Linked DNA regions of Tamandua tetradactyla. The protein of the gene in region 2 binds, or shares a complex with, the protein of the main gene of each other region. Links are inferred from orthologs where the notes say so. Each region holds a gene or a part of one and is shown on either strand. Other genes may lie near its edges.

Region 1 (7,164 bases), on a different chromosome or scaffold from region 2:
GGATGAGTAAATAGCCTCAGTTTTCCAAATCTTTTCCACTTTTTTTGTTTGGATTCTTAACTTTTTTATTGTGAAATATGACATATATACAAAAAAGCAATAAATTTCCAAGTACATCTTAACAAGTAGTTGTCAAACAGATTTTAAAGTATGGTATGGGTTACAGTTCCACAAGTTTTTGTTTTGTTTTTTTCTTTTAGCTGCTCTAAGAGACCAACAGAAATATCAATATAATGATTCAGCAGTCATACTCATTTGTTAAATACTACCTTCTGCCTTCTCTGTTTTACTCCTCCTTCTCTTTAAATAACATTGTTCTAGTTTGCTGGCTGCTGGAATGCAATATACCAGGAACAGAATGGCTTTCAAAAATGGGAATTTAATGAGTTGCTAGTTTACAGTTCTAAGGCCAAGAAAATGTCCCAGTTAAAATAAGTCTATAGGAATGTCCAATCAAAGGCATCCAGGGAAGGATACCTTGGTTCAAGAAGGCCAGTCAGAGTCTCTCTCTCAAGTGAGAAGGCACATGGCGAACACAGTCAGGGTTTCTCTCTCGTCTGGAAGGGCACATGGCGAATATGGCGTCATCTGCTACCTTTCTCTCCTGGCTTTCTGTTTCATGAAGCTCCCCAGGAGGCATTTTCCTTCTTCATCTCCAAAGGTCGCTAGCTGGTGGGCTCTCTGCTTCTCATTGCTATGTTGTTCTGCTCTCTCAGAATCACTCATTTTCCAAAGTGTTACTTCTTTTGTAGAACTCCAGAAACTAATCAAGGCCCACCCAAATGGGTGGAGACACATTTCCCCCAATCCAGTTTAACAACCATGCTTGATTGGGTTATCTCCAGGGAGATGATCTAATTACAGATTCAAACATATGGTATTGAATAGGGATTATTCTGCCTTTACGAAATGGGATCCAGATTAAAACATGGCTTTTCTAGGGGACATACATCCTTTCAAACCAGCACAAACATATATATATATATATATATAAGCACTAAATTTCAAAATACAACACAGCATTTAGTTGTAGAACTGATTTCAGAGTTTAGTATAGGCTTAAAATTCCACAGTTTTAGGTTTTTATTTCTAGCTGCTGTAAGGTACTGGAGGCTAAAAGAAATAGCAGTATAATGATTCAGCACTGATTAGATTTTAATATGCAATTATCAGCCCAGTAACAACTACCAAAATGCTCACAAAATGTTAGAATTCCTTTAAAAACAGCTATTACATATTCTTCTTTTGCATAAAATATGCATTAGTGTCAACTGTTTCCTCATGATCAAAATCAGTCTATATAAGAAGAGATGATACAAATCAGTAAGTAAGAGAACTAGTAATGAACAAATGGTAAGAAAGAGACTTTTTGTTGACAGTAAAGAAGAAAGAGCACCTTTCTGAAAACAAGTCCTTCAGCACTGAGGAGACATGAAATTATGTGCTACACAGTGATGCATTATCTGTGAAACTTGTCTTGACCTGTGAGAGGAAGTAAAGTACTTTCTCGTAGCTAAATCAGACCTTTGGGAAGGTATAAATTTTAGGCTTTAGTAGCGCATAAATAGTGCAACATTGTAAAATGATCTTAAAAATTCTCAGATGTACAATAAAGTTTCTAAACCATTGATTTTAAGCAGTCTCAAAAACACCCTGATCTTTTTAACCCAGCCCTTTCTACATGTCCAGCTTGTGCCAAATATGCACCTCCTGCAACTATAGACCTTTTGGCTCCACACATCTTCATGAGGCTCTCTAATTTCTGTTACTTGTAGGTTAATAAATAAAAAGAATGGTTTGTACCATTTCATTGAGACCGTAGCTTTTCACAGTCTGGGTTCATCTTATTTGGTATTGGTGGCCCTTCATTTACAGAGTGGCTGCCAGGCACACAAATGAATAGAGCACACGCAGTTGGCCCCAAAGCTTAAAGTACTCATGGTCAGATAAATCAAAATATGCCATGTATTATAAGGAAAGACTTCATTCCTCCAGAGGGAAAGAACAGTCAAATGCTTTACACTTACAAATGGTGTTTTCCACACAGACTGAGGGGCTTTGTGGAGATTTAACACCAACTGAAAGGATTACTATATTAATTTTCTAGCACAGAATGCAGTGTACCAGAAATTGAATGCCTTATTTAAAGGGGAACTCAATAAGTTATCTGCTTACAGCTCTAAGGAAGTGAAGGTGAACAAATTTAGCCACCAAGCAAGAGGTCACCTAAACTTAAGAATGGACAATGGGTCAGGAACACCTCCGCCAGCGAGGCGGTCACATGGCCGGCATCCACTGGTCCCCTGCTCCCAGGCCCCGTTGCCCTCCGTTCCTCTGGGGATGGGATTCCCTCACCTGGCCTCTCTGAGATGGTTTCTGTCAACCCCCCAACCCCATCCCACCTCTCTCCAGGTTCTGCTTTTCGTAATATCTCATGGCAATGTCTTCTGGGCTGCAAGCACCTCCAAAGATCCATGTCTGTGTCTTCCACATGTCCCCATCTGTGTCAGTCTTTTCCACTTTTAAGTTTTTTAGTATTAAATTCTAAATTTGAGAGCAAGTGGGTAATTGAAGATAAGGCTATTCTTGTCAACTTTTTTTGAAAATGTTTTCTTAGCTTGATTTAAGACATTTTCATCCCCCACCCTTAGTAATAATAACTAAGAGGCAATATACATCTCCATGAAAACAGCAGGTGAGCTTATGGTTTACACTGTTTTTGTATTCAGAAGTTAGGGTTGTCAGAATCCCAGTTTTAAGGTTCATTTCAAATGCTGCATCTTCAATGAAGTTTTTCCTCATTTCCTCATTCTAACTCATGTGATCTCATCACTTTCTTAAAGTACATAGCAATTTGTGCCTCTCCCAAAACATTTGTAGTGTTCCATTATCTAGTATCTTTATATTCTCTTCCTTGACTACAAGAGCCTAGAGGTTATGGATTATGTCTGACTACTTTTTTGTACCCTGTATTTTGTACTTAGTATTGTGATTACATTGCACGTATTAGGTGTTATATAAATATTTTATCTCAGTTGCCCTATTAAATTGAAATACTTCCAAATTCTTTGTTTTTAATTTCACAGCTTAATTTTGCCTAAATAGTTATCTCCGTAAATCAGAGATCTTAAATGTACAAGCTGAATATTCATACTGGGGACACTTTCCACTTTTGAAAGCTAAAGCCCAATTCTATAATTGTAATTCTGTAATGTTTACATTTTGCACACCATATATTTTCTTTAAGGGCAGAAAGAAATGTGCAGAGCAGGGCAACAAATTCCAAGTCAAATAGATTCTTAACATTCTACAGAACCACTCAGTAAATTCTACAAGAAGATGTAGAATTTTTTGTTTTAGTTTATGTGAAAAGGAGGGATACATCTACATGCGGTTCAATATAAGGTGCTCTAAATATGAGGTTTTGTGTCAATTTACCTTGTACTCCAGTGACCCCTGGGTCCATTTCCACCCTACTTTGACACCATGACCTTTTTTTTTTTCCCCATTCTGTTTTTCTTTTATAAAAATCGTTTTTTTCTTAGACTGGGAGAGGCTCCTTCTTGACACAGCTCTTCCTGTTTTGTACCCCTTAAATACTACTAGTCTTAGAAGGGATGTGGGCCAGCTGTGGTTTATGTGAGTTGTTCTCAACAAGCAATAGTGTCTGTCTGTCTCCCTGTCTTTTTCTATGTATATACATTATTTTCTATTTCATATACCCAGTAATTTATCTTTAGGCATTTGACTTTTACCTAGAAGAATTATTTGTTATGTATTAGAGGAGATTGTGGTTCTACAATAGTATGGATCTTACTGTTGCTGCAGTGATTTGAAGTAGTCATCTTTCTTATACCATTATAATAATGTCTTGCTTTCCTGGGGAAATAGAAAACTTCCTTCATTTAAAATTTTATGTACCTGTGTCTTGTTTGGAGTCACCATATCGTATAATGCAGCAATAATTATGTCACTGACAACAAGTTTGTGAGATATTTATTATTCTCATTTTACAGATGAGGAAACTGAGGCTTGGTGAAGTTATGAAACTTGTCCAAAGTCACACAGCTTGTAAAGGGCACAGTCAACATTCAGAGCCAGGTCTGTCCAACTACAAAACTTTTAATCATGGCCATGAAACTTTGAAATAGCTGTGAGGTATCAACCTATATAATTTATTTTGGTATTCATTTTGCTTAACTGTTCTTTAACCTTTATTGACATTTTTTTAATGGTGTTTTTTTGGTCCTTCATAATTTTACTTGTCTTTTAAATATTGTGAAAAGCAAGATAGTAATTAGAATCTGGGCTCCAAATCCAGATTACCTGGGATGAATACTAGTTTCCCCATGGTGGTAGTTAGGTGTCAGTTTGGCCAGGTGCCTAGTTCTGTTGCTGTGAAATGGAACTATTAACATTTGAAACTCGTCTATGGCTGATTACGTCTGCAGTTGGCTAGAGTGCCTTCACAATGAGTGATGTTTAATTTTTTAAATTTAATTTATTTTGTATGATCAAACCAAAACAACATACAAGCATGAACATTCTTAACATATGAACATTCTGTGTATGGTGTACAGTCAATGGCTCACAATATCAGAGTGATGTTTAATTTAATTAGCTAGCAGCTTAAAAGGGAAAGGGCAGAAGAGAGCTCAGTGCAGCACAGCTGCAGCAGCTCAGCGTACCTCATCTCAGCCCTCGCAGCTCAGCCCAGATGTTTGGCGATGCAAAAAGAAATAGCCCTGGGGAAAGCTGTTGGAACCCCAAAGCTGGAAGAGAAGGCTGGCAGACATCACCCTGTGCCTTCCAGTGTAAGAGAAAACCTCAGGTGAAAGTTAGCTGCCTTTCCTCTGAAGAACTATAAATTTTTTACTAAATAAATCCTGTTTTATCAAAAGCCAGTCCATCTCTGGTGTGTTGCATTCTGGCAGCTTTGGCAGACTAAAACACCCACTTAACTTGTTGTGTGACATTAGGAAAGTTACTTTTCTGTACCTTAGTTTTCCTCTTTGTAAAATTGTAATAGGATTGTTGTGAAGATTAAAAGATTTAATATGTACAAAACACTTATTACAGTGCCTGACACATAGTAGGCCTTCAATAAATGTAACTATTATTACTGTTTTCATCTCCTAATAGCCAGTAAATCAAATCATTATTTTCAATTCTCTGCTAGGAAATTTGGGTAAGGCAAAGTTCAGACAGCAGCATTAGGTCTCACAAAACTTGTGTAAGCCAAAATTAAATTTGAATAAGTTATATGTAAGGGGAATCATTAAACTTCTGATTAAGTTCAGCTCTACTGTAAAACATTGGCAACTGCTTTTTGGTCACACATGTATGAGATCTTGCATGTATTGGAACCATGCATGCATAAGCCCACTAAAAATATCCTTTCAGCCTAATAAGAGAATTCATTATATCTGAACACTGCATTATGAATATATTTCTTTTTTATTCTTGTAAGCACATATATTCAGAATGAATGTCTGCATTTTCAGGTGGCTTGTAAGGAGATGTTGTTTTCGCAGTATTGACAGTTACCAGGAACTAGAAACTCTCATGTATTATGTACATAATACTTCTTGCAGGCTTGGTATCAGAACTTATACCATGATGAATGTATATCACTGCCTGACCCCTAAATCAGTGGGATCAAACTCAGCCATGTACTCATCTTCACTTAGACTTGGTTGTCGTAGCTGTCCAACTATTGCTACAATTAAAGTAAGATCCCTGTGATTATAGTTATAACTAGTGACTAGTTATAAGTTTATATCAATTGCAGAAATATCCTTGACTGGGAAATAATTTCAGTCAAGATATGCACAAATTCAGAAACTATTGTTTAGAGAATGAGATTTATCTTGCATATGAGGCCAGGATCTCTGCAGCTTTTAATCTATGCATGCATTTAGATTTTCCCTTTATTTTATGATATAGCCTCCTCCTAACATTCAATATAGTATATATTTTGAGTTATTTAGATTTTTGAAATCATCGTTCAATTAATTTATTTTTCCATAGAAGTCTGAAGTCTGTTAGATTTAATTTTTTTTTTTTTTATTTTAACATGGACAGGCACTAGGAATCGAACCCGGGTCCTCTGGCGTGCTGAGCCACTGTGGCCAACCCTAGATTTAATTTTTAATTATCTTATATTTTGTTATTATTTCTGTTTACTGATGTGAACTCTTTTTTGGTATATAGGTCTATTATGTTCAACCACCTTACTGAATTCTTTTATTAATTCTAATAATTTATGAATGCTTTTAGATTTTCTATGTAGTTAACTATTGTGAATGAGAATTTTTTTCCTTTCCGATGCTTCCACCTTTTATTTCTTTTTCTTGAATTATTTATGCTTGCCTTATTTTATGAGTTCCAATGTAACTATAAAAGGTGGACATCCTTGGTGTACCTAAGATTTTAAAAGAAATGCTTGTTATGTTTTGTCATTAAGCATGTTGTTTGCTTGATTCCCAGACCATGCACTGCACCCCGCCCCCCAAAAGAAGAGTAATGTTTGGTATAGGTTTGTGGTAGATAGTATTTGTAGGTTAAAGAAGTTTCTGTTTCTAGTTGACAAAGATTATTTTTGCATGTGAAAAATGAGTATTGAGTTTTATATTTGATACTTTTTCTGCATTTTTTGGAATGTTCATACAGTTTTCCCTGTTTATTCTGTTAATATGATGAATGACATTTATAGGTTTTCTAATGATGAATGATCTTTGCATTGCTGGAATGAACCTAACTTTGTCACGATGATCTTTTTTTTATGTGCAACTGGATTTAGTTCATTAATATTTTGTGTAAGATTTTACACCTATGTTTACAACTTGGCCTATTTTTTATTCATTTTTTAAAATTTTTATTAATAAAACCAGTCATCATACAATATGAACATTCTTTTTTAATCACATTGTTGTATATTTATCATCATGATCATTTCTTAGAACATTTGCATAAATTCAGAAAAAGAAATAAAGCAGAAAAAAGAAATTCATGCATACCATACTCCTTACCCCTTCCATTCATTGATCACTGACATTTCCATCTACTCTATTTTGACATTTGTTCCCCCATTATTTATTTATTTTTAATCCATATGTTTTACTCATCTGTTGATAAGGTAGATAAAAGGAGCATCAGACACAA
Region 2 (8,043 bases):
AAACATTCCTTGCACTTCAAATTATGGGGTGTGGCAGGGAATGCAAGTTTTCAAATGATTTGGGGCAACACTGTTGTTTCCAGTATGCATGATGTTTTTCTTACAGCTTACTGACACCATCCTTCAGGTGACACTGGTAGCACAGAGAACATCAATTATTACAGACAGGCAGTATTACGTGACCATTTAAATGACACAGGATATAGAATAAGTCAGAAGACTAACGGTTGAAAACTGACTGGTAACATCAACACTCCTACTTCTACACTTCAGAGAAACTGAGGCCAAGAGACGTAAGGTTCAAGTTCAGAGCGATGGCACCAGAACATCCCTTCACTCAGGTGCCCGGCTCCAGGTCCCTAGAGCAGTCTGTTTATGCCCTTCCACCACCCTGAGGAGACCCACATAAACCCAGAGGGTGACTTGAATTCAGACTCAGCAAAAGCTTCTAATTAAGGTCTATGATATTAATAAGACGAGGACAAGCGTTCCCAATGACATTCATGATGAATTCAATCTACAAACACCAAATTAATAAGTAAAACATAAGACCTCTGACAAGTCCATTCCAATAAATAGGTGGCAAAAAAAAAAGTTTTAATAGTGGGGACATATTAACAAAAAGTTGTTTTTAAAACAAGAATTACCTTAAGGAAATGGCTTATAACAATTCTGCAATGACACAATTAGTGCTTGACTTGAATTTTCAAAGCTATGTAACTTGTTCAATCATTTCAGACACAGATAATATAGGTACCCAGCATAGTAAAGGATCCATTCGCTTGCAAAACACTACCTTAAAAGCCTCAGAGAAAATCTGCAGACATAGCAGCTAGAAGCAAGAAAGCATTTTCCAAACATGCTTATGAAGACCAGAAAGTCAATTTTTCACTGCCCAAACTGAAATTCATTCTGGTAACACCTCTTCATCCTTTCCTCACTTTCCAGACCACAGTACTTCAGGTTTCCTACAGCTTCAAAATGTACCCTCTGGGCATTTTTCCTGAATTTCAATTCACCTTCCTTTAAGGCCCATCCCTACTTTCTTTCCAACATCTTTACTCCCCAAAGGACTCCTGACACTGTAGCCCTTAAGGGACACTCAGGGAGTGAGCAAGGGCCTTCCTAAAATATCCCACAGAAAGGCCTCAGACTGCATAATGCTAATATCACTCAGTTACCAAGAGGTTCACTTAAATGTGAATGGGTATGAGGTCAGAATCAGTTTTATTCCAAAGATAATTAAGCTTCCTGGTCCCTTCCAAGGAACATGCTCTCACAGCCAGTCCAATTTCTGTAAAATTGGCAAAATTATTTTTTTTCTTCTTCAAGAGGCATCCCCTCCCTCCGAATTACATAAGTGTCAAGCCCCAAACTTACATTCTTCCCTCCTCTGGATGAAAAACTCCTATCTAACCCACTACAGCATGCCACTGCTCAGGTCAGGATCACCAATGAATCAACAATTTGGTTGTTGGTCTTGGTTTCCAAACAAATCTAATTAAATTAGTAACCAGCACCACCACTACAGGAAAGAGAACTCTTCAAGTATTCTTCTTACCTGGATAATCCTAAAACTGGTTTCCAGAATCTATTTTAGATCATAATAATATCAAATGCTTTAAAATGAGCTTTTGGAAAGACACTGAAATTGTAGGGACCCTCTGGATTTGTTGTTTTTCTTTGAGAGATCCCTTCAGATGGCCAGCAAAGGACAAATGAGCTTTGATCCAAGGCGATGAACCTCACTTAAGCCCCCTAAAAATTGTCAGGAGAACAGGTTAAAATGCAGACATCTGAGTCCCACCCCGGAGTCTTCAGGTCGAAGGTGGGGCCCAGGGGGCTGCTGCGAGGTCTCGGGAAGGTTGTAGGCTGAATGAACAGAGCAGGTTGGTGGCAGCTGCCGCGGCTCCACCACTGTGTGACCTTGAGGCAGAGAGAACTAGGGTTCATTTAGAGAAAACATAAAATAACGTGAAGAGGGCAGGGACAGTGAGAGGAGAAGCGGAACTCGACGCACAGCAGCGCAGGTGGTGTCCAATCCACGGAATCTGTTAGGGTGTGGCTGGGCACTACGGCTCCACCGGAAATCAAGTTGCAGAGTTCATGTGCGAGGGTCTCAGGAAAGCAAAGGTACACAGGTTCGTCTCGCCCAGAAGTCACGTCTCATTTTAATCTCGAGTCCGACAGGGGCAGCATCAACCCGGGGCTAGGGAGTATGAGCCCAGGCTAGACCCCACCCGCCGCCCTCCCGCTCGCGTCCCTGCGAGAAGAGGGTCTCGGCACACAAAGCCAGGGCCGGGTTGTGGGAAGGTGGGACGAGCACAATTCGGGCGAGCGGAGCAAAGGAGAGAAGAAGACCACAGACTCCAGGTCGTGACAGAGAAAAATAGGGGAGGAGGGGCGTCACCCACTCGGCAACTCTTTATTCCCAGGTGAAGGGCGGAGGGCGGCGAGGCGGCATGTAGCCCCCAGGTCCCGGTGAAAGGGGTCAGAAAGGGGGAATGTGGCTCCCGCCTATTTCCTCCGGTTCCCCCTCCCCCACCCACTGAGCCGGGATGCGGCGACCCCCGCCCACTCGCCCGCAGGAGGGCTCCGCCGCCCGCGCGCCCGCCCCTGGGGCTGCATTCGCGACCCCCAGCAGCTCCCCCGCCTGAGACACGACTGGGGTCCGGCCGCAGGAAATGGCGGGGCGCCCGGCGCGCGCGGGAAGCACCGGCTGCTGGGGGCGGCTCCGCCCTGCAGGGTCGCAGGGGGCACCCCGGGGCATAGCGGGACACCCCGACCGGCCGGCTGCCCCATCCCTTCCCCGATTTGGACCCCCAGGCCGGCCGCGCGGGTCCCCCGGCGTCTCACCGCCTTCATGGCGGAGGCCATGTCGTCGTAGCGCTCCGCCTGCTCGGCCAGCCGCGCCCGCTGCAGCAGCTGCTCCCGGTCCCCCATGTCGCTACGGCTCGGTCTCGCCTCGCGTCCCGCACCGCTCGCCCACTCTCGGTTCGCCGCGGAGGCCGCCGCCGCGCACGCGCACTGGCTCCCGGCCGCCGAGGGAGGCTGAGACCGCGCCGCCGCCCGCGCCCGCTCGCTGGCTAGTCCCGCGCGCAGTGGCTTCGCGTCGCGAACACCGCGGAGGGAGGAGAGGCGGGCGTGCCGAGGGGGAGGGGAGGATGGGAGGGCGCCTGCGCAGTGGGAGCTGCTGGGCCGGGCGGCGGGGAGCGGCGAGAGTGGGAGGGGGGAAGGGCGAGCTGGCCCTAACGGTCTATTTCAAGGTGACGTCACCTACTATAAATAGCCGCCACCGCGGCCCCGCCCGAGAGCCGCGCAGGCGCCCTGCGAGTGCTGCATTTTACCGCCGCAGAGGTGGAGGTGGGAGCTGGGTGAACCGGTTGGAGACTGCGGAGCCGGAGGGCTGGGTGTGGTGATGGCGGCTGCCTAGGCGGCGCGTTGCCACAAACTCATCCTGCAAAGCGCGCCTGAATGCACGTTAGCGGCCTGGCCTGAGGAGGGTCCAAAACGCAAATAAACCTCCTGCGTGGAGAAGCCGGGAGGGCGTACGCCCGGAGGGGTGGGGCGGATTCGCCCCCGCCCCCGTAGCCGCAGCAGCGTGGAGTCCCTCCCGGCCCCTGGGTTGCACGGGCCACACCCTGGCGGTATCGAGCCCCGCCCTTGGGAACCCCCTTACCACACTACCACAACCGCCACCACCACACACGCGCAATCCTGGGCTGCAGAGCTGAGCTCCCACCCTGAGAGGTGGCGTCCGGCCTCACAGTCACGACGCCCTTGCAGGGAACTGGCCTAGTGCTGGGACGTCTACAGGCGTTATTGTATTTAATACGCACCACCCACCCTTGTCTGTGGACGCGGCTGGTCTCCCCATTTTTCAGTTGTGGAGCCTGAGGCAACGTGAAGTTAGTGACTTGCTGAAGGTTGCACAGCCGTCCAGTGATAGGGCCAGGATAAGGGTGCAAGCTCAGGCAAGGAAGGGGTCGGCCAGTCACTGAGCTCCTTTCAGTCATGGCATTCGGTGCGGCTTCCAGGCAAGCCGGGAAAACCTCGCTGACCAAAGCATGCCGGCCACGTACAATATATATGGCAAGGGCAGCGCGGAAGAAGAGGCCTTAGGCTTTCTGAAAGTTCTGTTGAGCACCTGCTGCATATTTAGCACTGAGAGGATAGGGTAGCTACAGGAATGAGTAATATATACCCCTGCCGCTAAGCAGCACAGATCTAAATATGCGAGAATAGGTAATCTGGGCCTTGAGAGGGAGGGAAGAGGTATTGGGGCGGGGGGGCGTACAGTATGGACAAAGACTTGACTTGGCAGAGAGGATAAAGACAAAAGAGATAGTGAAAAGAGACGCTTGCCATTGGGAATGAGGTTGGGTAGGGTGAGATTATAGAGTGTTTTAAATGCCAGATTGAAGATTTGAGACTTGATTCTTCGGAGCTACAGAGGTAACAGAAGTCATGTTTCTGGCCAGGAATCTGGCTTCAGAAAGTAACATGCATTAGAAGGGAAAGGGAGGGACTGAAGACTGAACCGTTTCTGGAACTCGGTTTTAGCATCTGAAAAATTGGACTTGAAGGACTGTTAAAGGACTGAAACATAGAAATCCTCATTCTGAAATGTCACGGTCACTGCTGTCCAACTCCTTATCCTGCATAAAGAGAAACTGAGTCTCAGAAGGAGAGGCTGGCTCCAGTTTGTGCTGTGAGTGAGCAGATCTGGAGCCTCCACACAGGTCTCCAGCCACCCAGCCCTCCTCCTCTGGTGCTAAAAGGAGGCTTGGCACCCATAACGCAGGATTAAGTATGGGTCTGGGGAAGAGCCACTCCCCACGCTTCACCCGTGTTTTGAAGAGTCACCTTTGCTGACTAGAAATGGAATCCAGGTTAGCAAACCAGGCTGTTCTTTCCCCTCGTGAATATCTTTAAAGAGTATGATAGCTCGTAATTAATCTTCCACCCCATCTAGCAGAGAAGGCGCTCTGAGAGGCAGGGCCAGGGCAGGATGAGGACGGTATGGTGAAACTCTGGTTCCTTCCAGCCTTTAGAGGCTATTGTTTTCCAGATCATGCTGGACTGAGAGTGATTTCAAAACAATGAGAAATAGGTAGAGCTGAAACAGTCTAAACAGTTGATTTTGACATTCCTAAATTACACTTTGGTTCTTCCAGAAAGCCTTTCTTTCCTTCTCACCAAACTTCTCTGTCTTCACTTCTTCACCTCCCACCCAGCCCTCAGCCCACTGTACTCTGGCTTCTACCCCCTCTCCACCCAGATGACCCTCGCTGAGACCACCAATGGCCTCCTTGTTGCCAAATCCAAGGATGCTTTGGAGTCTTCACTTTCCTGACCCACAACGGCTCACCCCTCCTTCGAACACTCACCTCTTAGCTTTCATGACCCTGCACTCTCCTGGTTTCTCCTCAACTGTTCTGGCCACTCCTTTTCTGTTTCCTGTGTGAGTTTGTCTTCTAGGCCCACCGTGAAATGCAGGGGTTCCTCAAGGCTTCGTCCCAGGCCCTCTCCTCTTTCCATTCTGCCCATTCTGGGTGACCTTGTCCAACCCCACTCTTGAAAGGAAAGGAAGATTTACCATGTTCCTAGCATCAGGTAAGGGGTTTTGCAGAGATGGGCATATTTTTTTTACTTCAAGATACCCTTGAAGTAAAAGGCAATTTCCACCCCCATTTTACAGATGAGGAAACTGGCTCAGAGATGTTCCCTGACTTGAAGAAAGTCGCCCAGCTGGTAATCAACAGAGCCAGGATTCAAATTCAAGTCCATCAGACTCCTAAGCCTGATGGCCCCACACTGCCTTTTGGTGTTAGCCAAAAAGGGCTCAAGGTATGACTCCCCTTTTGGAGTCATTTGGATTATGAAAAGCACACATAAGCCTCCTTCTTGTAGCCTGCATCTTACCAGCATCTTCCCCCTCAGGGAAGAGAGCTGCCAGCTCCCCCAAAGCCTTATAAATCAAAGACCAGTGGGGTGTGCCCTGGATGGAGCACCTACTGCCAGGGCTCCAAGCCTGATCAATAAACAAGCATTTGACCAGCTCCAAAGACAGTCCATGAGTGAAGTGAAGGGGGCTGACAATATCCAACACCATGTTGTTCCAGGGCCCGAAGCAGGCCCAGGGTAGGGGCCAGGCTGGAGCTTTGCCTGGGACAGGGGCTTTTTCCGGGAACAGAGCAATGCCTCCGCTATCCCCCGGCTGGCTAAGAAAGTATGTGTGTGAGGGGGGAGGAGGGTAGAAAGAAGCTAGTTCTGGACTTGGATTCAAATCCTACCCCACCAGTTACCAGCCCTCTCTGAGTCTGTTTTCTCTCTTGCATACTCGCGCTAACCACACTTATCTCTTGGGGTTATTGTGGGATCGGTGGCATAATGCCAGCACATGAAAGCACCCGCCATCACTGCCGTATAATAATCCCTTGCTCCTGAGTCAGTGATAAAGATGCTTCTCATGTAGGACTTGTTTTCTGAAGCATTGCCAGAACCCTCAGCCGGAGACCTGTGAATAGGTGACCCAGAAAAGGCACGTCCTGTTTTTTTTGTGGGTTTTTTTTTTTACACCCTCGGGTACTCTGGGACACTCTGAGTTCCCTCAGAAGTCTGGATACCAAGGAACATATTACAAAGAAGACCTTGTGTTGTTGTGGAGAGGCAGGTGTTCATACCCTTGGCCTGGATGCCATCGCCCAGGGAGTCGGGTACCCAGATAGGATTTTAATTTTTTTTTTCCCCAAACGCACCAAAGTGAACTTTCTAATCCTGAGCCAACGATAATAATGGCATGAGCAGCAACTATTATATGGATGAGGAAATTAAGAACTAGAGGAATCAGACTTGCTCTGTGGTCCAGGCAGCCACCCATGGTCTCCCCAGCTCACACTCGCTTTCTGTTCATTCGCTTTGGCCCTAGTGTCCTTTTGCTGATACCAAATTCCACCCCCGTATCCAAGATGAGCCTGAGCACACAGATTTCTGGATCTATCCAAAGCCTTTCACTATTCTTTCAAAGCCCGATCTGGGAGCAGATTGACTCCCAAGGCAGCTCTTGGCATTAAGAAGTGAGAAAATGTCCTGGTAGCTGCCATCTGCAAGCCGGTGGAGCTTGGGGGCCCCCCCTTTGCAGCACCCGCCCTCTTCAAACGTGTTCACAGGAGCTTGGCTCTGGAGAAGAAGGCAAAGCTGTCACCTATGGAATCCCAGTGACTACAAGGGCGAAAGGGGTTTGCGCTTTAAGCCCTGCAGATGACCCAGGAGCTTGTGTTTCTTAGCCTGAATTTTCTAGGTGGTTTGCTGCAAGCTTCTCCTTGATTCTCACTGGGTGAGCCTAGGCAAGGAAGGGAAAGCTGGAGGACAGTGCCAGAGAGCCCCATAACTTCCTCTCTCTGAATCTTTGGATTTCTTATCTGTAAAATGGGCAGCTACACTGGCAGATGGCAGAATCCTTTCTTTTTCCAGTTCTGAAGGTCTAGGGCATTTCACCATTGTGAGGTCAGCAAACAATGGCGTGACAACTCAAGAGGATGCAAGTGGGATGTTTCAGAGGGCAAGTGTTTGGATTGTGTCCTTACATGAAGGGTGATTCCATAGCAGCAGGCCACAGGGTAGCAGTTTGCTCCCCCTTTGTTTAGAAGAAGTTGAGATAATTGTTCCCGTTCTTCACAGATGAGGAAACAGGCCCAGAGAGGTATGTGAGTTGCCTAAATGCAGCCCAGAGAGCAAGGGGGAGGGTCTTCCAGCTCCACCTTTGTTTCCACTGCTGCCCTTACCTTCTGAGAACCCAACAGCATTCTTTTGGTTGTTGAGCTGTTAGAAGAACCAAAGTGGCGGTAGACTGCTGGGTAAACCTTACTCTGAGAAGTAAGGTAGAGGGTCTCTGAGTTTTCACCAAGGTTCCCTGCCAAGCAACTTTGCTTAAAAAAACCCATCTTTTCCTTCCTAGTTTGTCAGTAGGAGGTGAGCAGATTGCTACAGCCTTCTGTCTTCTTCCAGCCAACACTGGCAGGCTGGCCCCAACTCAGGAAA

The links. Proteins that work in one complex are often made in the same cells at the same time.
Region 1: the proteins of YWHAH (region 2) and NUMB are in contact, whole or in part, in a crystal structure (PDB 5YQG), measured with the Mus musculus proteins. The link is inferred for Tamandua tetradactyla from reciprocal best matches to the Homo sapiens genes YWHAH and NUMB. Residues at the interface, in NP_035868.1 of Mus musculus: Arg57, Arg132, Tyr133, Leu177, Asn178, Val181, Glu185, Ile222, Leu225, Asn229; in NP_001129547.1 of Mus musculus: Gln274, Gly275, Ser276, Phe277.

Annotation. Positions count from the first base shown.
Region 1 is NC_135338.1:32,165,279-32,172,442, reverse strand, and holds the start of NUMB (protein numb homolog), read left to right. Parts: upstream 1-4,127; 5' UTR 4,128-4,717; coding exon 4,718-4,831; intron 4,832-7,164. UniProt on the Homo sapiens protein: Regulates clathrin-mediated receptor endocytosis. Plays a role in the process of neurogenesis.
Region 2 is NC_135331.1:30,700,062-30,708,104, forward strand, and holds the start of YWHAH (14-3-3 protein eta), read right to left. Parts: upstream 3,065-8,043; 5' UTR 2,944-3,064; coding exon 2,857-2,943; intron 2,529-2,856; exon of another isoform or gene 1-2,528. UniProt on the Homo sapiens protein: Adapter protein implicated in the regulation of a large spectrum of both general and specialized signaling pathways. Binds to a large number of partners, usually by recognition of a phosphoserine or phosphothreonine motif.